Regions from separate parts of the Mus musculus genome. Here all the other regions are reported to be linked to region 1. The links are microRNA targets in miRTarBase. Many come from high-throughput screens and were not tested one by one. Region 1 holds a microRNA gene; each other region holds the end of a gene's coding sequence.

What was found. Region 1 holds the annotated microRNA mmu-miR-3470b (UCACUCUGUAGACCAGGCUGG, at 1,421-1,441, opposite strand). A microRNA usually pairs through its seed, bases 2 to 8, with sites in the 3' UTR of a target mRNA and lowers its output. Matches are read on the target gene's strand: a 7mer-m8 pairs with bases 2 to 8, a 7mer-A1 pairs with bases 2 to 7 and ends in A, and an 8mer does both.
Region 2: the mRNA of Dlgap5 is a reported target of mmu-miR-3470b. Seed matches in the 3' UTR shown: 8mer at 806-813.
Region 3: miRTarBase lists Glrx2 as a target of mmu-miR-3470b. Seed matches in the 3' UTR shown: 7mer-A1 at 720-726 and 8mer at 1,611-1,618.
Region 4: miRTarBase lists Elf1 as a target of mmu-miR-3470b. Seed matches in the 3' UTR shown: 8mer at 1,376-1,383.
Region 5: miRTarBase lists Ttc9c as a target of mmu-miR-3470b. Seed matches in the 3' UTR shown: 8mer at 1,135-1,142.
Region 6: miRTarBase lists Eci1 as a target of mmu-miR-3470b. Seed matches in the 3' UTR shown: 8mer at 323-330.
Region 7: miRTarBase lists Kcna4 as a target of mmu-miR-3470b. Seed matches in the 3' UTR shown: 7mer-A1 at 557-563.

What each region holds. Positions count from the first base shown.
Region 1 is chr16:44,012,211-44,015,325 of GRCm38, reverse strand. Mir3470b (microRNA 3470b) reads right to left here and starts at 1,474; the gene lies at 1,349-1,474. Gramd1c (GRAM domain containing 1C) reads left to right here. Exons shown (of 17, transcript NM_001359085.1): 6 at 2,289-2,404.
Region 2 is chr14:47,385,563-47,388,677 of GRCm38, reverse strand. Dlgap5 (DLG associated protein 5) reads left to right here. Exons shown (of 19, transcript NM_144553.2): 19 at 555-899. The coding sequence ends at 662. Lgals3 (lectin, galactose binding, soluble 3) reads right to left here. Exons shown (of 6, transcript NM_010705.3): 6 at 2,511-3,115. The coding sequence ends at 2,998. Among named protein-coding and RNA genes, the nearest start is that of Lgals3, 13 kb to the right of the region's middle.
Region 3 is chr1:143,746,434-143,749,433 of GRCm38, forward strand. Glrx2 (glutaredoxin 2 (thioltransferase)) reads left to right here. Exons shown (of 4, transcript NM_001038592.1): 4 at 75-3,000. The coding sequence ends at 206. Among named protein-coding and RNA genes, the nearest start is that of Glrx2, 8.4 kb to the left of the region's middle.
Region 4 is chr14:79,580,209-79,583,323 of GRCm38, forward strand. It overlaps Elf1 (E74-like factor 1), which reads left to right. Exons shown (of 9, transcript NM_007920.4): 9 at 1-2,283. The coding sequence ends at 562. Among named protein-coding and RNA genes, the nearest start is that of Sugt1, 5.9 kb to the right of the region's middle.
Region 5 is chr19:8,809,232-8,812,346 of GRCm38, reverse strand. Ttc9c (tetratricopeptide repeat domain 9C) reads left to right here. Exons shown (of 4, transcript NM_027412.3): 4 at 509-3,115. The coding sequence ends at 603. Among named protein-coding and RNA genes, the nearest start is that of Zbtb3, 8.2 kb to the right of the region's middle.
Region 6 is chr17:24,438,832-24,441,831 of GRCm38, forward strand. Eci1 (enoyl-Coenzyme A delta isomerase 1) reads left to right here. Exons shown (of 7, transcript NM_010023.4): 7 at 118-485. The coding sequence ends at 284. It overlaps Dnase1l2 (deoxyribonuclease 1-like 2), which reads right to left. Exons shown (of 8, transcript NM_025718.3): 7 at 2,665-2,916; 8 at 1,937-2,278. The coding sequence ends at 2,225. Among named protein-coding and RNA genes, the nearest start is that of Dnase1l2, 2.8 kb to the right of the region's middle.
Region 7 is chr2:107,296,622-107,299,736 of GRCm38, forward strand. It overlaps Kcna4 (potassium voltage-gated channel, shaker-related subfamily, member 4), which reads left to right. Exons shown (of 2, transcript NM_021275.4): 2 at 1-1,883. The coding sequence ends at 266. Among named protein-coding and RNA genes, the nearest start is that of Kcna4, 7.6 kb to the left of the region's middle.

The sequences.
Region 1 (3,115 bases):
TGTGATTTTTCAGTTAGAGTTCTCCAACCTGGGATTTCTACTCCGCGTTCACATAATCAGCTGGAAGCAAAGAGGCATGTTTTTCTTAGCTTGCCTCCTTTATTGCAGGTTTTTGAATATTTTTGACATTTTTGAAGTGTAGATAATGACATCTGAATTGTCATCAGCTGGTTTTGTGGTCATCTTGGCAAACTGGGATATAGCTGCCGCAAGTCCAGACCATTTTCCTTTTAAGCTCCCTGGTTCCATGAAGTGTAAGGAGAGTCATCTAGTAAAAACCAGGACACAGAGCTGCTCCTGGGAGGAGGGAAAGGCGGTGGTGGTTGTTGTAGGGGCTGAACACCGGGGCTGAATTCAGGGCCTTTATACATTTGGCCCCATTATATATTTTTACATTCAACCTCTTAACTTTGAAACATTTCTCTGATTGGGCTAGGAGATGACTTACTTGCTAGCTTCATAACTAATGTTACTTCTGTCCATCTCTGCCCTCCCTATGGGTTGGTCGTCTTCTCTCCATCTCTTCTAGTTTTTCTTCACGAATCCGTCTGTCCTCTAGCTTACCCAGAAGCCTATCTCCTCGGTGGAGCCTCATCTGGCCACCTTGGTCCTCAATAATATTAACTCCTTTTGCACTTCCCTATCCCATAGACTCTTCCAGCCCATTAGCACATGATCATGTGCATCTGATTTAAGAGTGCCCTGTATCCTTCAGACATGAGTACTAAATTCGGAGATTGTTTTTATACCCTTTGGATCTAGAGCGGTGCCACAGGTTTCATTCCCAATAAAGACCTGTGGAATGGATGGAAGATCGTATTGACAGTTGCTTCAAGTACCATGCTGTCTCTCTCTCTTGTCTTGCTTAATCATGTAATTAATTGCAATGTTCCCGGAGACCAGTCTGTTACTATGATATGATGTTATTTTCCCAAATAGTTTACAGCTTGCTTTATTTGGTGATTAAGGTTTTTTTTTTTTTAAGTGGGTCGGTGTGTGTGTGTGATGCCCATGGAATCCCGAAGGGTGTGTCAGTTGGAGTTACAGATTTACAGATGTTTGTGACTTGCCTCATGTGGGAGCTAGGATGTGGCCACTGGTCCTTTGGTGGAGCAGCAAGCACTCTTAACCACGGGTACATTTCTCGGCTGTACTTGGTAACTTTACCACTGACATGCTGTCTATAAAGGAAGCAAGCTAGAATTTACTAAAAGTAAATTAGTATTCTGAAGGTTGTTTTCTTGCATTTTATATTTTAGGAAAATGTAATTTGGAGCTCATTGGTGTGCAAAGTTCTAAAAATGCTTAAAATATTCAGATACAATCGTGAATTAGAAGTTTTGGTTCTCGGGCATTGGTAGCGCATGCCTTTAGTCCCAGCACTCGGGAGGCAGAGGCAGGTGAATTTTTGAGTTCAAGGCCAGCCTGGTCTACAGAGTGAGTGCCAGGACAGCCAAGGCTACACAGAGAATCCCTGTCTCGGAAAAAAAAAAAAATTTGGTTCTGAGTTAACATTTAGGACAACTCTGAATTGTGATCATAGGTTGTATGGATTTCAGATCAGTAATTAGCAGAAATGATAAGTAACTTACTTTTATAGAAAAAAAATCACTTTAAGCATCTTTACTGAAGTGTACTTCTGCACAGTAGCCTCTTTAATACACACTTTGAAAACCCACCATTTTCTAAGTGGAATGTGCCTTTTAGTTTCAACTTCTTTGGAGAATAGCTCAAGCCCAAGATCGGCCTTGAGAATGTGGTTAAACCCTGTGAGAAACGATTATCTGTTTATCGATTTAACTCTTGGTTTAATTATTTATTCTTACATTTTTGCCTACATATAGGTCTGTGCACCACTCGTGCGCCTGAGATGGCCAGAAGATCCCCTGGAACTGGAGTCATAGGTGGTTGTGAGCCACCATGCAGGTGCTGGGAATCAAACCCAGGTCCTCTAGAAGAGCAGCCAGTGCTCTTATCCATGGGACTTCCTCTTGAATGTCTCTTATCAAATGGGCATATTTAACCTTTCCTTTTCAGCGATGGGGATGGAGCTCTGCAGAGCCTTGTGGATGATATGCAGTTCTCAACCACTAAGCTATTATGCCCAGCTCCCATTAACCCTTTTTTTTAAAAATAGAAAATAGGGAGACAAATAGGCCAGGATCTATCCGAGCCACACCTTGACTGCTCACACCACGGCTCCTCTGACTTTGGCCTTTGTGCTTTGAATTACAGTTACGTTATCTGTTGCATTTTCCAATAGTCACGCAATGTTTCTGTCATCTTAGAGCCTGACCAGACAGGAGTTCTGGCAACTGCTCCAGCAGAACTATGGCACGGAGCTAGGCTTAAACGCTGAAGAAATGGAACACTTGTTATCAGTTGAAGAAAATGTGCAGCCAAGGTACAGTGAAGCAACGTAGAGTGTCAAGGTGCATTATGGCCCATCACAGTGGGATCATTGTAGGTCGTTTCAGTTCTGAATTTCTTTGAACTCATCGTTTGGTGCGGTTTGCCCTCTTGTTGGTAGAGTGCAAGTTGGGAGAGAAGAGACTCATTTGCTAAGTTGGTAAGCACGTGTGGGACGTGAAGAAATGTTAGAGATGAGGCTATGACTCTTAGAATTTACTACTAGAAAGCCTTTTTATTAAGGATCTGGAGCAGGGGCTGGTGAGATCTCACAGGAGACACTAGAGCAATTTGAGGGTTAGGGTGGTTTCATGACTTTTCCTCAAAGTCTCCCTAGCACCGTGGCATGTGTCCCACATTCAGTAGACACCGATCACCTTAGTCAAAGGAGCTGACCGTGCCGTGGGGGATGCAAGCAATGGTAATGTCAGGGTCATGTGCTGCTATAGTGTGATAAAGAAATTAGTAGAGAGATTATTTGGACAGCTGTTCATTAAGAAGTGTGAATATTTTACTAACTCTCCAAGTTAAAAAAAAATGTACCTTATCAATGTTAATTGAGACCATAGCCTCAATAAACAAAGATAATACATTAAAATTCTGTAGCATTTTACATTAGGCTAAATGAGAGAAGCCAAGATCCAAGGACCATTTGCCTTTTTGGTTGGTTGCCTATCGGGTAGCGGCTGAGCCATCTCTGCAGCCC
Region 2 (3,115 bases), not on the chromosome of region 1:
GATCCCAGTACTCGGGAGGCAGAGGCAGGCAGATTTCTGAGTTCGAGGCCAGCCTGGTCTACAGAGTGAGTTCCAGGACAGCCAGAGCTATACAGAGAAACCCTGTCTCGAAAAACCAAAAAGAAAGAGAGAGAGAGAGAGAGAGAAAGAACAACATAAAGCTGTTGCTTCTGCTGCAGCCAGGACGTGGTGGGCGGGGTCTGTCCCCATCGCCATCCTCCTTGGTGGTCTTCACCCTGAAATTCTTTACTCCAGCTGTGCTCTGCTGCGGGTCTTCACTGGGGGCTCAGGAGGTGAGACAGGATTTGTGTGTGTAGCTTTGGGTGTCCTATAACTCACTCTGTAGACCAGGCTGGCAGCTTGAGATCCGCCTGCTATGGTGGTGCACATAAAAAACAAAAATCCTTTACATTAGGTCTTACGCTGTTAATAATTTCATTGTTACATAGGGAAAGTTACTTACTCCTTGGCACTCAGTTAACTAAGGGTGTAAAAAGCTTATTTGGGGCCACACTCGATGGTGGATTCCTTGACTGCTCTGCTGTGTTCTTTAGCCAGGCCTCAGCTGCACCAGCCCCTGCACTCGGGAGGAGACCAGACAGCCAGATCGCAGCAGACAGTTCTCCTTTGGAGGTGACCTCATTCTCTTCTCACCACTATGACCCTGAAGGGAACACCAGGAGGGCTTTAAATTTAACATGACTTTTAATATTAATTTAAATAAACATTCAGTGCTCGCCTTTAATCCCAGCACTCCGGGAGGTAGAGGCAGGCGGATTTCTGAGTTCGAGGCCAGCCTGGTCTACAGAGTGAGTTCCAGGACAGCCAGGACTATACAGAGAAACCCTGTCTCGAAAAACCAAAATAAATAAATAAATAAATAAACAAACAAACAAACATTCTTTTCTTCGCATTGTTAATTCTCTGATAAAGTGAGATAGTTTTGCATCTGCCGGCTCATTTTATAGATTTTCATTTGAGCACCTGTATCTGTTGACATCAGGATAGTTTGGTTTTCCTGTATTCCTTTAGATAAGGTTTCCTGAATCATGAAGTGCACTGATTATAGTTACACTGTTCAATCCTTGCTGCCTCTGGTAATTTCCCCTTTAACAGAGCTAGCTGCCATGGACAAGGATGAAAGAGAGAAGAATCTTTACAAAAAAATCTGGAATTTCAGGATGCTGTGAGCTATTTCACATGGGCGCTGGAAAGCCAGTCCTCTGGAAGAGCAGTGTGTGCACTTGGCTGAGTCGCTACTCCAGCTCTGATTTTATAATCCCTTAGCGTCATGACCGTAAAACACTGCTGATACGGGAAGGAGATGGCTCAGAGAAAGGCACTGTCCTCTGACACCACCTTCATGTTGTGGCATATTTCAGCCCTTCCCCTCCCCCCACGCACATACATACATACATACATACATCATACATTCATACATACAGTAGAACATAAGTGACAACTCAGTGCTACCAACAGCAAACAGTAGCAAAAGCTAACAGCCCTACCCTGTGTTCCCCGTGTTTCCTGTGTTATAATTTGGCCTGAGTGCTTTGGAAGGAGACATTCCACACAGAATAGGAACCTTACAGGTTTAGGGTTAGACATTTTCAAGAGAAAGTTTAGTCTACTTTTGACGTCAGAAGTAGGTGTGTTTGGCTTTGGGGAAAGATGGTGCTTATCATGACACCCAAACAACTTACTGGAAGGTTACTTGAGGAGTTTGCATAGAGGAATGTTCATAAAATGCCCCCCCTTACCAAAACCTGAGGCGGCATGGAACAGCTTGCTAATGGATGACGGAAAGTTATGGGTGGAGAAATTGCCTGGTGGGTAAGGACACCAAACCTGAGAGCAATGCCCGGAACCTACATTCTGGAAGGAGAGACCCAGCTCTCTGTACATTCTTGTCCCATCAGTTGCAATTGCAAGTGCTTGTTCTTACAGACCTCTTGATTTCTGTTTTCCTGGGACGCCAGCTTGTGACATTCACCAGTTTAAACTAATCGAGAAGATAACGTTGTAGAACAAGACTTTTGACCTTTTCCTACTTTGAGCTTACTGATAATAGGAAAGATAGAAAGTGTTAGGTATGAGAATGGACATGAAAACCAAGACACAGTCTTAATGGTGTTGAGTACTCATTTGAAGGCAATAACCTGGGGCTTTACAGGAAAAATGGGTTTAAGACCAGCCTCCACAACAGATAGTTCAGGACTATATACCTGATTGTCCCATAATTGCAGTGATGCTGGTGTGAGCGACCTGCTCCCAGTCGTATAGAGCAGAGTCTGCATGGTACAGAATAATGCTGGAAGACAGTGTGCAGGGTCAGCACTGGCAGCAGCCTCACGTCGTTCTTTCCTGTTCCTGATTGGCCCTTATCTAGGGTTGTGTAAGTGCACCCTTTGATCTTTCCTTGGAATCGCCGAGCAGCGCTAAGCAACACAACTCTCCCCAGATGCCGACGGTAACTGTCTGCTGTTGAGCTGGCGCCATTCAGCGTATTTCCTTTGTAAAAATCAGGATGGTTTATTGATAATTACATAGTTCCCTTTATATAAAACTGCACCAAATCAAAGGGCATATAAAGACAGGCAGCTGGAGGCATCAGTGGACCTGACCTGTCTCAGGAGGATCTGAGACTGGTTCCCAGCAACCTGGTCACACAGCTTACTTACAACCACCTGTAACTCCAGCTCCAGGAGGCCTGGTGCCTCTCAAGTGAGCAGGCACCTGTACCCATGTGCACAGACACACAACACACAAAGTTTAAAAGGCTAGGGATGTGTAGCTCAGTGAGAGAACACTTGCCTAGCAGTCACGAGCAGTCCTAAGATTTGACATCCAGTATCATAAAAACCCCCAAAGCGATGGGTATCTCTCAGCATGAGACTTTATTAAATGGATGTCTTACAAGAAGGATAAGGAGAGAGAAATGCAAAGTTTCCCACTCCTAAGGCACACAGGGCCGGTTTCGGTGCCGCCCCTTCTGGCTTAGATCATGGCGTGGTTAGCGCTGGTGAGGGTTATGTCACCACTGATCCCCAGTTGGCTGATTTCCCGGAGGTTCTTCATCCGATGGTTGTACTGCAGTAGGTGAGCATCGTTGACC
Region 3 (3,000 bases), not on the chromosome of region 1:
CTCACTTCCCTCCAAAACTGGACCAGTTCTGACACCGATGGTTAGGCCTTATTTATCTTTTCCTTCTTCAACAGGTTCCCAGGATATTTGTCAATGGACGATTTATTGGAGGCGCAGCGGACACTCACAGGCTTCACAAAGAAGGGAAATTGCTGCCTCTGGTTCATCAGTGTTATTTAAAAAAAAAACAAGAGGAAAGACATTGAATGATGTGGATAGTCGCCATACCAGTAAATGCTAGTTAGTGCAGTCGTACCTTTGACTTGAGGCTGTTTTCAGTGTGTGGATTGCCTTCATAAAGATGATTCAGAATAATGAACAATAAATTGCCCTGGACCCTTCATCTCCCGATTGGCCAGTTTTTGAGCATGAGATGGTATAAAAAAACTAAAGGAGGTGGAGTTACATCAAAAGTAAAGAATGTTTATTAAGAATTTAAGAATCTTACAGCAAAGAGGGAGTACGCACTTAAACTCTTGCTCCCCATGGCATTCAGGAATTAACTTCTCACGTTCACTAGCTGTCAGGGCTGAGGACTGACATGTGGCTTCCTTAAAATTTAATGTGGTACAGATGTGCAGTGGGTTGGGATACCATATCATGACAACCCTTTATGTTCTAGACCACCAAACATACTAAATATGTAGAATTCGATGAAGTTTCTAGTTGGGGCATCAAGCTGCTAATGACTTCATGGTCAGAAAGCAAAAGGTTTCAATAGAGTGAGAGTGGGCTTTTCAAACAGTTCAGAAATGTTATTTAGTTCTGTTGCCAGTTGGACATTCTACCTTTCAGAATGTGTATCAGCTACTGGAATTTTTTTTTTTTTTCCTTTTGGAGACAGGGTCACTCTGTAGCTCAGAATGGCCACAAACGCAAAAGTCAGTCCTCCTACCTGTTTCCAGGCTTGGATTATATGCTGAGCTACCACACCCAGCTTGAGAATGCTTAAGAGAAACAGGAATTAGAGTTTAGACTAACGGTCCTTGTTATAGTCCGAACGTGCCCCACCACAGACATCATGTGTTGGAAACACATGACATAACCTGATATGGTACGCGAGGTGAGGCCTTTACAAAGTACTTAATCCTGAGGGCAGATGGGTCCGTGCTCTATTAGAGTGGTTCTTGATAAAAGGATGAGTTTGTCCCCTTACCTCTCCCGTCTTTGCTCTTCCTCTTCTTCCTCTGCAGTGTCCTGATACAGCAAGGAAATCCTCACTAGATAACCTCACCTTCCCGACCGATGACCTAGAGAAAGTCCATCTCTTCTTCATAAAGTACTCAGTCTCAGGTAGTCTGTCTGAGTCCCACAGATGGAGCGTCCCTAAAATCACTTCTGTTATCTTACTATTCTCTAACTAGGAAGACACTGTTCAAATTGACTTCATTTCAGATAAACTTAGCAAACAGAATTAACCTTTAAGAAGTAATATTTAAAAGAACTGAAAACATTTCCAATGCTTTGCTAGTCTGGTCATGGTTTCCGCCTCTGGTCAAGAATATTTTAAGTGCTTAAGAAATGATGCATTTCCTAGCAGATTCTCAGAGTCACGTTGGAAATGTTATCAAATGCTGAGCCTTTCTCAGGTAGGAAGAACATGGACTTCCCAGAGTGAGTGCTTCAGCTTTCTGGTCAAGATAGACTAGGGACTCATGCAGAGTTTGGAGGGAGACAGTGGCTTGCTGTCAGAGATGTTTCCTACGTGGACTTCAACTGCATTTTGGATAACTTGACATAGAAGTTAAGACAGCTCTCCTGATTTAAGCTGTCATGTTGGTAGGAAAGGAACATGGTGTATTTTTATTCCTTTATTTTACACTATATCATGAGAAATTATATAATTTTACTATGCTCTAAAACTCACATTATGTATGGGAAAGGTGTCACTGTTTCTGTTGTCACTAGTAATCTTATTAGGATGTAAGGTCAAAGGCAGGTTACTTAAATGCACAGCTACACCAACCACGTAATAATATGGCCTTGGCTTTGAGGAGCTTTTTTTGTGGTATTCAGCCTCAGACCCAGGGCTTGAATAGCAGGCAGGTGTGCAGGTGCCACTGACTTATAAAACTTTTTCTTTTTTTTTTTTTTTACATTAGACTTTTTTAATTAGATATTTTCTTTATTTACATTTCAAATGTTATCCCCTTTCCTAGTTTCCCCTCTGAAAATTCCGTATCCCCTCCCATTCCCCCCAACTCACCCACTCCCATTCCTGGCCCTGGCATTCCCCTATACCGGGGCATAGAACCTTCACAGGACCAAGGGCCTCTCCTCCCATTGATGACCAACTAGGCCATCCTCTGCTACATACGAAGCTCGAGCCATGAGTCCCACCATGTGTTTTTTTTGGTTGGTGGTTTAGTCCCTGGGAGCTCTGGGGGTACTGGTTTGTTCATATTTTTGTTCCTTCTATGGGGCTTGCAAACTCCTTCAGCTCCTTGGGTCCTTTCTCTAGCTACTTCATTGGGGACCCTGTGCTCTGTCCAATGGATGGCTATGAGCATCCACTTCTGTATTTGTCAGGCACTGGCAGAGCCTGTCAGGAGACAGCTATATCAGGCTCCTGTCAGCATGCTCTTGTTGGCATCTGCAATAGTGTCGGGTTTGGTGATTGTTAATGGGATGGATCTCCAGGTGGGGCAGTCTCTGGATGGTCATTTGTTCAGTTTCTGCTCCATGCTTTATCTCTGTAACTCCTTCCATGGGTATTTTGTTTTCCCTTCTAAGAAGGATCAAAGTATCCACACTTTGGTGTTCCTTCTTCTTGAGTTTCATGTGTTTTGTGAATTGTATCTTGGGTATTCTGAGCTTCTGGGCTAATATCCACTGGGCTAATATACCACTTAGCTATACAACTAATTCTTAAGAATGTTTTATCAGTTCTTCCTAGGCTTGTGGGAAACAAGAGGATGTGTGGTACATAATTCTTGGTTAGGGTCAGATGTTAAAATAACCCAGCTCTTAAAAAATCCTTATCGTCAGAAGGCTCAAGAA
Region 4 (3,115 bases), not on the chromosome of region 1:
TCCAGTAGTGGTGTCTCCTGGCAACCAACAGTTACATACAGTAACAGTGCCACTCACAACGGTTATAGCCAGCATAGACCCATCATCAGGTGCTGGGTCTCAGAAATTCATTTTACAAACCATTCCATCGTCACAGCCCATGACAGTACTGAAAGAAAATGTCATGCTACAGTCACAGAAGCCAGGCTCTCCTTCAATTGTCCTCAGCCCCACCCAAGTACAGCAGGTCCTCACAAGCAATGTTCAGTCCATTTGCAATGGAGCGGGCAGTGTGGCATCCGCACCATCGTTCAGCGCGACGACACCTGTGGTGACTTTCTCTCGGAGTTCACAGCTGGTCGCACACCCACCGGGCACTGTGATCACTTCTGTTATCAAAGCTCAGGAAACAAAAACTCTTAAGCAAGAGGTGGAGAAAAAGGCCGAAGATGATTTGAATGAAGATGCTGAGAAAAGTGCCCAGCAGCCCCAGCCTTATGTGATGGTGTTATCCAGTTCAAACGGGTTTTCCTCTCAGGTAGCCGTCAAACAGAATGAACTGCTAGAGCCCAACTCTTTTTAATACACCAAAGGAATTATGGGTGGGTATTTTTTTAATTGAACTCATTTTTCGGTTGTCTGACCATAACATGATTTTTTTCTAAGATGAAATCCACAGAAGTTCTTAACTGTTAAAAAGTTACTTTTGACTTTGCTAGATAAGGAGGCGAACCCAAGTGTGTGTCTCCTCTGAATGTCTCAGAACTCAGTTGTGAAGGAGCAGGAGGTTTAGACGATGAAGAAATTCTTGACTGTTTTTCAGTTGCTATATCATATTTTAAAAGTTTCTTTTCTAGCTTGACACTGTACTAGCTTCCTGAATTGTTTGAAAATACTACTTAAATATAAGACAACAGGAAATTTATATAGGAAACATTTTCATTCCACTTGTATAATTTAAGTCTTAGCTCTTTCAGATGCAAGAAACTTATACTATTAAAATTGTTGCGATGTCACTTAGCTTGACTTTAAAGTTGGCTGGACTGTTATACTATGAATATACTACGAATTTGTAAACTATCATTATAAATTGAAGTGTATATGCTCAGTATATTGGCATATATGTGTAATTCCAGCACTGGGAGGAGGACAAAGGGCAATCAGGAGTTCAAGGCCAGCCTTAGCTATATAGTGAGTTTGAAGCCAGCCTGGGCTACATGTAACCTTCCCAAAAAAATCCAAAACAACAACAAAAATATTTAAGTGTGCCTATGATAATGTCTGAACCTGAGTTTAAGAAATGTGATGTAGCCGGGCGTGGTGGCACACGCCTTTAATCCCAGCACTTGGGAGGCAGACGCAGGTGAATTTCTGAGTTTGAGGCCAGCCTGGTCTACAGAGTGAGTTCCAGGACAGCCAGGGCTATACAGAAACCCTGTCTCAAAACAAACAAACAAATAAAAAAAGAAATGTGATATTATAAAGGCAACACTTGTGACACTTCCACTAGCTAGGTGTGTAACCCTGGGTAGGCCACTCCATCTCCTAGGTGTGTAACCCTGGACAGGACATTTCACCTGCTAGTCTGTGCTATTCTGGTAAAATGAAGGGATGCATTGGACTAGACAAAATGATCTAAAAGTTTCCTTATTATAAATTTTAGGATTTTATTATCTGTACTTTAAAATTATTTCAAATATTACCAGATTATCTCCTTATGTAAAGGTAAAATACTGCTTAAAAATATTTTCCTCACAAAATTACTATCAGGTCTGCCATAAATTCTTCCTAAGTTCTCTGCTCATTAATCTTCAGACCACAGTTACTAAAACTGTGGCTTAGTAGTAAGCTGAGGGCTAAATGAGAGACTGCTATTCTAAGAGCATCAGGGCTCTGAGGGCCAAAGAAGCAATGGGAGTCCTGAGCTAGTATAGCTGTGTCACTTATTATAAAAGCATAACTGTTTTTTATTTGGATCATTTTTTACTGTGGGTGAAGGGGAGGGGAAGTTGCATACAAAGATATATATCCAAGTTTCCGAAGTAGAGTTTTTAGATTACTTTTTCAATGTAAATAATGTATATTTAATGTCACAAGAAATTGTTTTCTGCAAATTCTCTAGTATAGAAAGTTTTGTAGAAGAAAAATTATTGTGTTTAGGGGTATAATATTATATGTTTTCATATTATGAAATGAATTTGTATTTAAACAAAAATTTAAATTTTGGAATCCTCTAAACATTTTTGTATCTTTAATTGTTATTATTAAATCATGTAAAAGTTCTCAATATTTCTGTTTTCAAGCAAATATTTCTTGTTTGTAATTCTTTTGCTTTTTGACACAAGACACACTGTGCTGTCCTAGAACTAGTGATTATCGTGCCTCAGACTCTTGAGTAAAAGGCACATGCATCAACCATACCTGGCCATGTTCTTATACTGTGTGCACATGCATGTGCATGCCTGAGGGGACACACAACATGTTCTTATACTGTGTGCACATGCATGTGCATGCCTGAGGGGACACACAACAACATTTGGGAGCTGGCTCTTTTCTTCCACCATTGGTTTCGAGGGTCAACTTCAGACTTTAAGGCTTGCATAGTCTTGTTACTCTCTGGTAAATACTGCTCCAAGAACACACACATACTGAAATGAGTTTCTGTGTAAATGAGACTCTGTCTTAGAAAGCCAAAGAGAAAATAAACTTGTGGTATAGTAGCTGTGGCTCTAAGTCAGCTTTTAAATGTCTGAATATACATGCAGGAACACAGTAGAGAAGAGAGCATAGCACTGGCTGTGGGTCCTGTATCCTGTCTGAGGTGGGTCCTCTAGGCCCTGGGCTGCTGCTTTCAGCACTTCCTGGGTCCTAGGGATCCGGATTCAGGCCGTGGGGCTTACATAGTAAGTGGTTACTCTCACTGAGCCATATCCCCAGCTCTAAAACAGGCTTTCTTAGTAATTGCTAAACTTGGAAAAAGAAAAATTCAAGAAAACAAAAATCTCAGTACCATGGCATGTCCCTACTCTCTTATTGGTAAACTTAGTCATTTTTCACATATTCGTACCCATTTGTGAGTATGTGTGCATGTGCATTTGTGTTGATACAAAGTCTCTCTCACTGTGCACCTCTGGGT
Region 5 (3,115 bases), not on the chromosome of region 1:
TGCCTCTGCCTTCTGAGTGCTGTGATTAAAAGCATGCACCTGCCTCTGCCATCTCTCCAGCCCCTTGTTTAATTTTAAGCTGGGTTTGGTGGTAGAAGCAAAAGAATCGGGTGTTCAAGGCCATTTTCAGATATAGATCAAATTCAAAGTCAGTCTCTTAATAATAATAACTCATAGTGGCATTAAAAATAGAATTTACGCTGGGCAGTGGTGGCGCACGCCTTTAATCCCAGCACTTGGGAGGCAGAGGCTGGTGGATTTCTGAGTTCAAGGCCAGCCTGGTCTACAAAGTGAGTTCCAGGACAGCCAGGGCTACACAGAGAAACCCTGTCTCCAAATAAATAAATAAATAAATAAATAAATAAATAAATAATAGAATTTACTATTATATGGAATAGTTGTGATACATTCAGAGTTTGGAGAACTAAAATAACTAGGAGTGTTAACAATGCTCTGTGGTCCATTTGTGTCATTATGGTCTGTCTGTAAACCTCTATTGTCTTTGAAGATGCCAATGTTCGGCGGTACCTCCAGTTGACGCAGTCAGAACTCAGCAGCTACCATAGGAAGGAGAAACAGCTGTACCTGGGCATGTTTGGTTAATGAAGAAAAGAGACATTTCTCAACTTGAACTCAAGTGGACAAGCAAAGGCCCATTGGGGAATCTGAGCCTCACTCAGCAAAAGGAGTTCACCCTTTACCTCTGACCCAGGTGGATTTCCATTTTGTTTCCTGTTCTGCACAAGTTCTTTGCTCCTTAGACCATCTGCATCGTTTATTGTCTGTCCCCTAGTGTATTTGTATGGCTTACAATCTGAGAACATTCATCGACTGTGGGTGGAATCAACTGTATTTGTGGCATAGATTTAATGGGGTGTTATTAAATGTTCTCAGACACAGAGGAGAGGGCCGGTGAAGGGTGAGAGAGTAAGGACAGGCAAACAGGAATCTTCTGTAGTATCTTCAGATGCTTTTGTTTTGCTTAGTGGGATTTTTTTTTCTTTTAATTATAAATTGAGCCCAAGTATATTTACATTAAAGATTTGAAATTAGCTGGGTGTGGTGGCGCACACGTTTAGTCCCAGCACTTGGGGGAGTCAGGCAGATTTCTGAGTTTGAGGCTAGTCTGGTCTACAGAGTGAGTTCCAGGACAGCCAGGGCTACACAGAGAAACCCTGTCTGGAAAAACCAAAAACAAACAAACAAAAAAAGATTTGAAATTAATCATTTTAGGGCTAAGGCTGTAGCTCAGTGGTAGAGTGCTCGCCTAGCACGAATAAGGCCCTGGGTTTAATTCCCCAGTGCTACAAAACCAACCAACGAAATAACAAGAAATGAATCAAACTGTTATTTAAATTAATTTCTTATACTCCTTTAATATTTCAGAGACATTCAGATTATTTTCCTCCATAAAAGTATCTTCTTTCTAGGCAGACTTGGTGGTAGATGCCTGCAATCCCAGCACTTTGGAGTCTAAACCATGACAATCACAAATTCAAGGTCAGTCAGATCTTGTCTCAGAATTAAAGGGCTGGAGATAACAGCTCTGTGGGAAAACCCTGGGTTTAATTCCCCTTTCTGGTTTTTGGTTTGCTTTGTTCCCTCCTGGTAATTTCTAGTCCTTGCTATTGCTTGCACTCAGATCACTGACAAAGTACAACTTATTTGTCATTAATTTAGTCTTTTTTTAAAACTTCTGGAGTGAATGCCTGGGATACATGAAACCCTGTTTTTACCTTCTCTCTGACCTTGTGCCAAGAAGGAACCCAAGTGCTGGTGCACTTTCTCTGGGTGTGTGTGTATGTATGGTGTGGGAGCTTAAACCCACCTTGCACATGCGAGGCAAGCACCCTGTCATCAAGCTACACAGCTAGTCCCACAGAATTTGGTTTGTATTTCAAAAAGTTTCTCTGCGTAGCTTTGGCTGTCCAAGTCTGAATATTTCATAGATACATTCTAAAGTGTTCACTTTTCTGAAAGGCATTACTTTTGTCTTCTTGAAAGTGTACCGTAGGGGCTGGAGAGATGGCTCAGCGGTTAAGAGCACTGACTGCTCTTCCAAAAGTCCTGAGTTCAAATGCAGCGACCACTTGGTGGCTCACAACCATCCCTAATGAGATCTGACTCCCTCTTCTGGAGTGTCTGAAGACAGCAACAGTGTACTTACATATAATAAACCTTAAAAAAAAGTGTACCCTAATAAATCATGACAGAACCTGTTTCCTCTTCAGCTGTCACTCTGTCTTGTAGGTGCTCAGGACCTTACAGAGGAAAGAAAGTACAAGGAAAGATGTTTATTGTTTAGTGTGTTGGAAGCACCTGATAGAATCCTGAAGAAGCTGTGTCACTCATGGGTGCAAACCTAGGGTTGTCTTGCCTTGCCTTGCCTCGGTGGCATTCAGCTACTGGTGGCTGGTCTGTCATTCTGTTTACCCTGGATCCTCTTTATGTCATGGCTGACAATTAGTAGCTAAGACCATGTAGTAGGCCTCCACCTTTATAAGCAGAGATAATAAGCATGTGTCGCTAGCCATTATATAATCAAAAACCAAATATGTTTCTTGGGGTGGGACCAACTAGCTTATTAATAATACCTAAAACTCTCCTAATACTCTGTGCTTCTATGTTCCTCCCCATAATTTAAATAATATATCCAACAAGATAAAAAGCTTTTCTACCAAACCTAAAAAAATACAAGGACAGAACTAAGTAGAATATTTTATCTTGCAGACTTCTTAAACTGCTAAAGTTAGCATATGTCTGTGATTTCAGCACTCAAGAGTGCTGAGGCAGAAGGATTACTATAAGGCCAGTCTGGCTATATACTGAATTCCAGACTAGCCAGACTTACCTAACAAAATCATGTCTTAAAAACTCAGATGGATAAAATCCCTATACTGGTTTGGCAAAATTTTGTCATAGTGAGTCCTGTCACATTAAGTTAGAACCCCTTTTTTTTTTTTAAGTTTCTACTCAGTAATTTTCCAGTATAAATCTCACCACTACCCCTCAATTATAAATATCCACTTGTCTAATTGGAGTCAATTAGGTCCAATCTCTGTGTCCCGCTGTAAAATCTAGTTGCTATAGTTCCTATGCCATGACTGCCCCTGAA
Region 6 (3,000 bases), not on the chromosome of region 1:
TTTTCCCAACTCTAGGAGAGTTTATATTTCAGTACTTGAGGACTCAAGTGTAGAGGAGCCGGGAACGGCCCCCCACACTGCACAGGTGAGTTTCATAAGTAACCCTGTTTTCTTCAGACCATTCTCGGCAGCTGACAAAGAACATGATGCGAAAGGCCACCGCAGACAACCTGATCAAGCAGCGAGAGGCTGACATCCAGAATTTCACCAGTTTCATCTCCAAAGACTCCATCCAGAAGTCCCTACACATGTACTTGGAAAAGCTCAAGCAAAAGAAGGGCTAACCTAGGTGGACTTCTGAGTTCGAGGCCAGCCTGGTCTACAGAGTGAGTTCCAGGACAGCCAGGGGTATACAGAGAAACCCTGTTTTGAAAAAAAATAATAAAAAAATAAAAATAAGGGCTAACCTACAGCTGCCACATATGTGCCTTCTAGGGACCCACTGGTCCCAAAGATTATATATAAACAAGGTATTCTTCAACTTCAAAACTCTCTTAGCTCTTGTGTTCCTAACCTTAAAATGTCCTGTTTCAGGAATGGAGAAATAGGTCAGTGATTAAGAACACTAGCTGCTGTTGTAGAGGATGCAGGTTCAAATCCCAGCACCCACGTGGTAACTGCAGTTCCAAGGTATCCGATGCCCCCTCTGGCCTCCAAAAGCACTTCATATGAAGCATGTGGTGCATACACACATACATGCAAATATACATACATGTGTATGTACATATACAGTGAGTGTGTGTGTGTGTGTGTGTGTGTTCTAACAGTCCCACTAGCTGGGTGGGGTAGGTCTGTCATTACAGTGCTTCCCATGCTATGGTGAGAACTTGAAACAAAGCAGGACAAGGTGGATGCGCTTGACCCCAGTGCCGGGGGTGGGGGTGGGGGTGGGGGCAGGAACAGGCGGATCTCTGAGGCTCTGGCCGGCCAGCCAGCAAGTGCCAGTGAGACACCTCCTCTCGAAACAAGGTAGAAACTTGCTGGGCCTCTGGCTTATCCAAGTGTACGTGTGCATACAGAGGCTGTCCCTCGAAGCATGGGGCCCTATGGCTGCAACTGCAAGTGCCTTTCTGCCTCAGCCCAGTGCTGCTTATTCAGTGGTAAGGTCCTGAATCTTAGATTAGATTTTATGCAATCCAGATAGGCTTGCACTAAATCCTTGATTCAGTTCCCAGAAATGCCAACACAAACGACAAAACTTTTCTAATCCACCGCAAGGTTTTTTTCCCATGTAATTCATGCCTTTTCTCCAATCTCACTAAAGAGGTTTTATTGACCTTGGGCCTCCATAGTAGCACGTATGCATGTGTGCGTGCATGTGCATGTACACGTGCACACACACACACGACAAGTTTTAACAACTAGAAGCCTTATGAGAGCCTTGTGTCTACAGAGCTATTTCCTGCTCCTAAAGTGATGGCCCACCTGAGCATAAAATCTCCATCCTGCCGAGGCCTCGCCCAGCCCAAAGTTTTAAAGCTACTCCATGAGGCACCTTTGAACAGCTTGGCCTAAGCAGAGTGCAGGCTGGGTAGGACTCCGTGCCCAGCAGTTGCCTTTGCTGTAGGTTCCTTTTCAGAAGGTGGCAGAAGAGCTCACTAACGGGGTAGGTGTAGCCGCCATCGCTGCCGGCAGTGCTACGTGAGGCCTTAGGATCCCTGGGGCAGAATGATCAGGGCCTGCTCTCAAATCCAGCAGGGTCCAGAAAGACATTACCATCTGAGCTGCCACTGGGTGACTGGGTGATGATTCATACGAGCATTTCAAGTTCGCACAAAGGCAATAAGGATAGGGAGCTGGCATGGTGTGGAGGAGCCAGCATCCTCCAGGCTGGGAAGTGAACAACAACAATGGAAATAGACCTACTGGACAGTAAGACCAGGCTCTGCAGCCTCGGTACAGAGGTCTCAGAAAGCAGAGGCCCCATCCAACCTGTGGGTAGTCCTGGCCAAGAGCGGCTTGTTTATTAAGCATGCAGCTATGTGCCTGGCGCTGCTCGGTTCTCCTCACAGCAGCCCGATGAGGTAGGTGATGTTAGTTCACCTTGCAGATGAGGAAATGGGAGCTTTAAGGAGTCCTGTAAATGTGTTCACAGCCATTGTCCACACCAGCTGGTCCGACCCTGTGTCCTCAGTGGGTGGGTGGCCTGCCACCTGAATGATTCACTGTGGTGCCAGTCCTTGTGGTAATAGTCTGCAGGTGGCATATCCTGAGGCCTTGGCTCTCAGTGAGTCTTGAAAGTCACTTCCACAGGAAAATGGTCACTGATGGCAAGAGCCTGGAAGGAGAGGGGTTGGGGGAGTCTCAGCGGTTCAGCAGGGCAGCGTTTTCTCTAGCTGCCCCCTCCCCCCAAACATACACACACATACACACACACACACACACACACACACACCACCACCACCACCACCACCACCACCACCACCACCAAGAAGGCAGTGAAGGCTTGGTAGCCATTCTTGGGCCTCATACTGCCTCCATGTGGCAGAGAACAGAAGTGTGCCAACAGTCCCTTCCTGGGGGCTTGGCACTCTAAGGACCCTTGGCGATAATTGCTTTTGCTAGAGCAAGCATCAGTGTAAACTCCCAGCAGGTGAGCATTTCTGTGAGCCCTCTCCTGAGGGGGCTGACTAGTATGTCTGCTGGAGCCCTGTCCACACTCACCTGGGTCTGATCTAGGTCAAATTCCTCCTGAAAGTTGTGAACTGAGGCTGAGTGGGGCTTCAGGCTCCTGCGCAGATGGGCGCCACTCACTACAATCCGGTCATAGGCACAGTCTGAGTTGCCCACTGTGGTGTCCGCACTGTCTGGGATGAGCCATTTAAACACCTCACTGCTTCGAAGGCGGATCGATGGCCAGTCATGCGCCTTCACGTACTTGCAATCGGCATTAAAGTCACCCAGAAACAGCATGTCCTGTAGGCAAGCACAGCCAGTACATCTTAGCAGTGCTCAGTAGTCCAGACCTCTGAGAACACTTGTGGTCTGGGACGTGAGTTG
Region 7 (3,115 bases), not on the chromosome of region 1:
TCTACCACAGAGAGACTGAAAATGAAGAACAGACCCAGCTGACACAAAACGCAGTCAGTTGTCCATACCTACCTTCTAATTTGCTCAAGAAATTTCGGAGCTCCACTTCTTCTTCCCTGGGGGACAAGTCAGAGTATCTAGAGATGGAAGAAGGGGTCAAGGAATCATTATGTGGAAAGGAGGAGAAGTGTCAGGGAAAGGGAGATGAGAGCGAGACAGATAAAAACAACTGTTCTAATGCAAAGGCTGTGGAGACTGATGTGTGAATTGTTCTCTCCACCTGCCACTGTCCCCCCATCTCCAAATATATTCATACATAGAGAATGCAGTTATGAAAATGAGATATGCAAACGATTGCACTGCATACAGTAATATGCTGTTTAATGGTAATACATGGCATAATTGTGACTAAACGTGTATTGCATATCAAATAAATGATACATCTTGGAGAAGAGGGAGGCATTAAAAACAGCAGATCTATCTTTATATTTTTTAATAGAATGCAAGAATTTTGCACATAATGGGAAAAATGTTAATAGTAAAGGTGGTTCTGAGGAGAGTGAGTGTGTGTGTGTGAGAGAGCGAGAGAGTGTGTGTACCTGGGTATGTAAGTAAATTGTCAACACTGTTGGGAATTGTGCCGTGATGGAAAAAGTTGGCATTCTGAAGTATTTACTATGTAAGAACTAATGAATTTGAGCAGTCTTTTACCAGTGTTTTAATAACATCTCCTATGTCTTTGGATTCTGTAGTTGTTTTTTAGAAATTATAAGAATTACTGTGTAGAAAAAAGAGAAAGTAAATTATTTAATAGAATATAGGTCACAATTTAATCTTGGATTTAATTAAAGTTTATTTTTAACTGGAAATTAACTTTTGAAAAGGCTGCAGGGGCCTTTAGAAATTGATTATATTTTATTATTAATTTTGGGGAGATATAATAGCAAATGCCTAACATTCTGGAGGAAATGTAACAAGTTTTGTTCACAGGTCTTAAAACTGGATTTTTTTTTCTTTTGCACTACTTTCTATGCCGAAGCCCGAGAGAGACTTCATACTATGAATGTTTACTAATGCACCAATCAGTTCAATGACAATCATTGGAAGAATGGGTTCTTCGTCTCATTTATTGTTCTCTTCCTTTCGTGAGACTAATGGCCACACAAATAACAGCACATGATTCCTGCTTTAAAATCCGAACAACTCATCTACAAAGGGACTATGAAGTAACGTTCAGCAGCCGAATCTTTTGAAATTGGTTTGTTACGATGATGCTTCAGAAACCATACTATTTTCAATACTCTTCTGCCTTTTAAGTCCAGAATAATTTAACCAAAGTTATTGCATGCACAGAGAGAATTCTTGGAGAAATAAGGCACCCAGCAGCTACAGCAATTATGGCTTAAGATCTTTTTATTAAATATGCAACAAAATGCTAGATTTAAGTCCCTTTTGTGTATGTGTGTGTGTGTCTGTGTGTGTCTGTGTGTGCAGCTGCAAAAACAAAACAGAACACGAAATGTGGGGATTCGCCTCAAATGCTAAAGCACTCTGCTAAATCAGAGTTAGGGAAGAATGGTTTTAGAGCATTTGGTTTCCCAATGGTCATTGTAAATCATTATCATCTTTATCACAGGGGCTTCCTGAGGATTATACTTCCATTTACCTCACAATAGCTATTCTTGAGTTTGGAGTAGGAACAAGGAATGCACCACGAACAACTGTAGCACCATAAAATACAGCTCAGAACACTCAGTATAAACACATAGGAGGCATTACTAAACAATTCATTAAAACAAAACAAAATCTTCTTTATAAATGGTTGCCCTGAGCATTGGGAAGAAATCCCATGTCCACTATTTCAGTCCATAGCAAACGTGAACAAAAACAAACAAAAAAAGAAACACCCGCTCACCCTTTCTTGTCAGATTTTTCAAATGCTTTTGGTCCAGGAAATCACTGGATACATTTTACCTCTCCTTTAACAGTATTTGAAATGAAAAGAATTCTAGTAAATCAATATCTTTGTTCCTGTCTTTTCTCTACACTTTGCTAGAACTCCATCTGGAGATGGAAAGGCAGCAAGCAGTGGAGGTGCTTGAAGAACTTGGTGCCACCTTGTGATTAGGACTCCAGAGATAATATTCTGATTCTAATACATTGTATTGAGAAAAGTGTAGTGAGAGTCTGACAGGCATGGCCATAATCCCTTCACAATACTCACTGAAACGTGTTTACACCCCATTTTTTTTATGAGTAGAAAATCATTTTAAATTAGAGGAATAGGGAAACAGTAAGAGGGAAGCTTGGGAACCTGAAATGTCCAGTTTCATGCAAATACCTGATATGATAATTTCTCCAGTACAGCCCATTTATTTAGTATTTTGTGAAAATAACAGTAATTGTTTGTGATCAGGAGGAAAAATCATTCTGAATTTCTTTGCTCTTTGTTTCGTTGACATTTCCTTCCTAAATCAGAAAAGTTGTATTAAATTTATTTGATGATATAGGTATTAATAATTCTCAGACTACATTAGTTACAAACAATTAAGAGTCCCAGGGCTTCCCTGAACTCACAGAGTGGTTTGTTGTTGCTTGTTTGTTTGGAAACTGCTGGAATTCCTAGTCATGTGCTTTCATTCCAAATATTATTAGAATGTCATTCAAAGTGTGTTTTCCTCTATGCAAAATGCATTTATCTTAGAGTGTGTCTATTGATTCTACATTGAGAAGAAACTTCAAAGCCCCCTTGCCTTGAGTTTGGGCATTTCTGCATGAAGTACTTGTTCATGTGAAAGTTGGGTGTCCAGTACAGCTTTGAGTTAACAGTCAATTCCCAAGTTGAAGCTATTCAAAGTACTTTGGAACCCTTTGTGAAGATTTCCTACTGGGGAAAATGCTGCTGTATAAACTGATTTAGGAAACTGTATTTTCTTAGATGCCAATAAGTAGGTTTGAAATACATACAGGTTCACCATACAGGGAAGAAAAAAAGAAAGTGATCCCTATTCAAAATCAGGATGCTTGAGGACAGAGGTCCTTTTCAGATGTCATTAGATACATTCTTCTTTCTTGCAAATGGCTAAAAAAGGAAGCCGAGATGCCCAATGGTTAT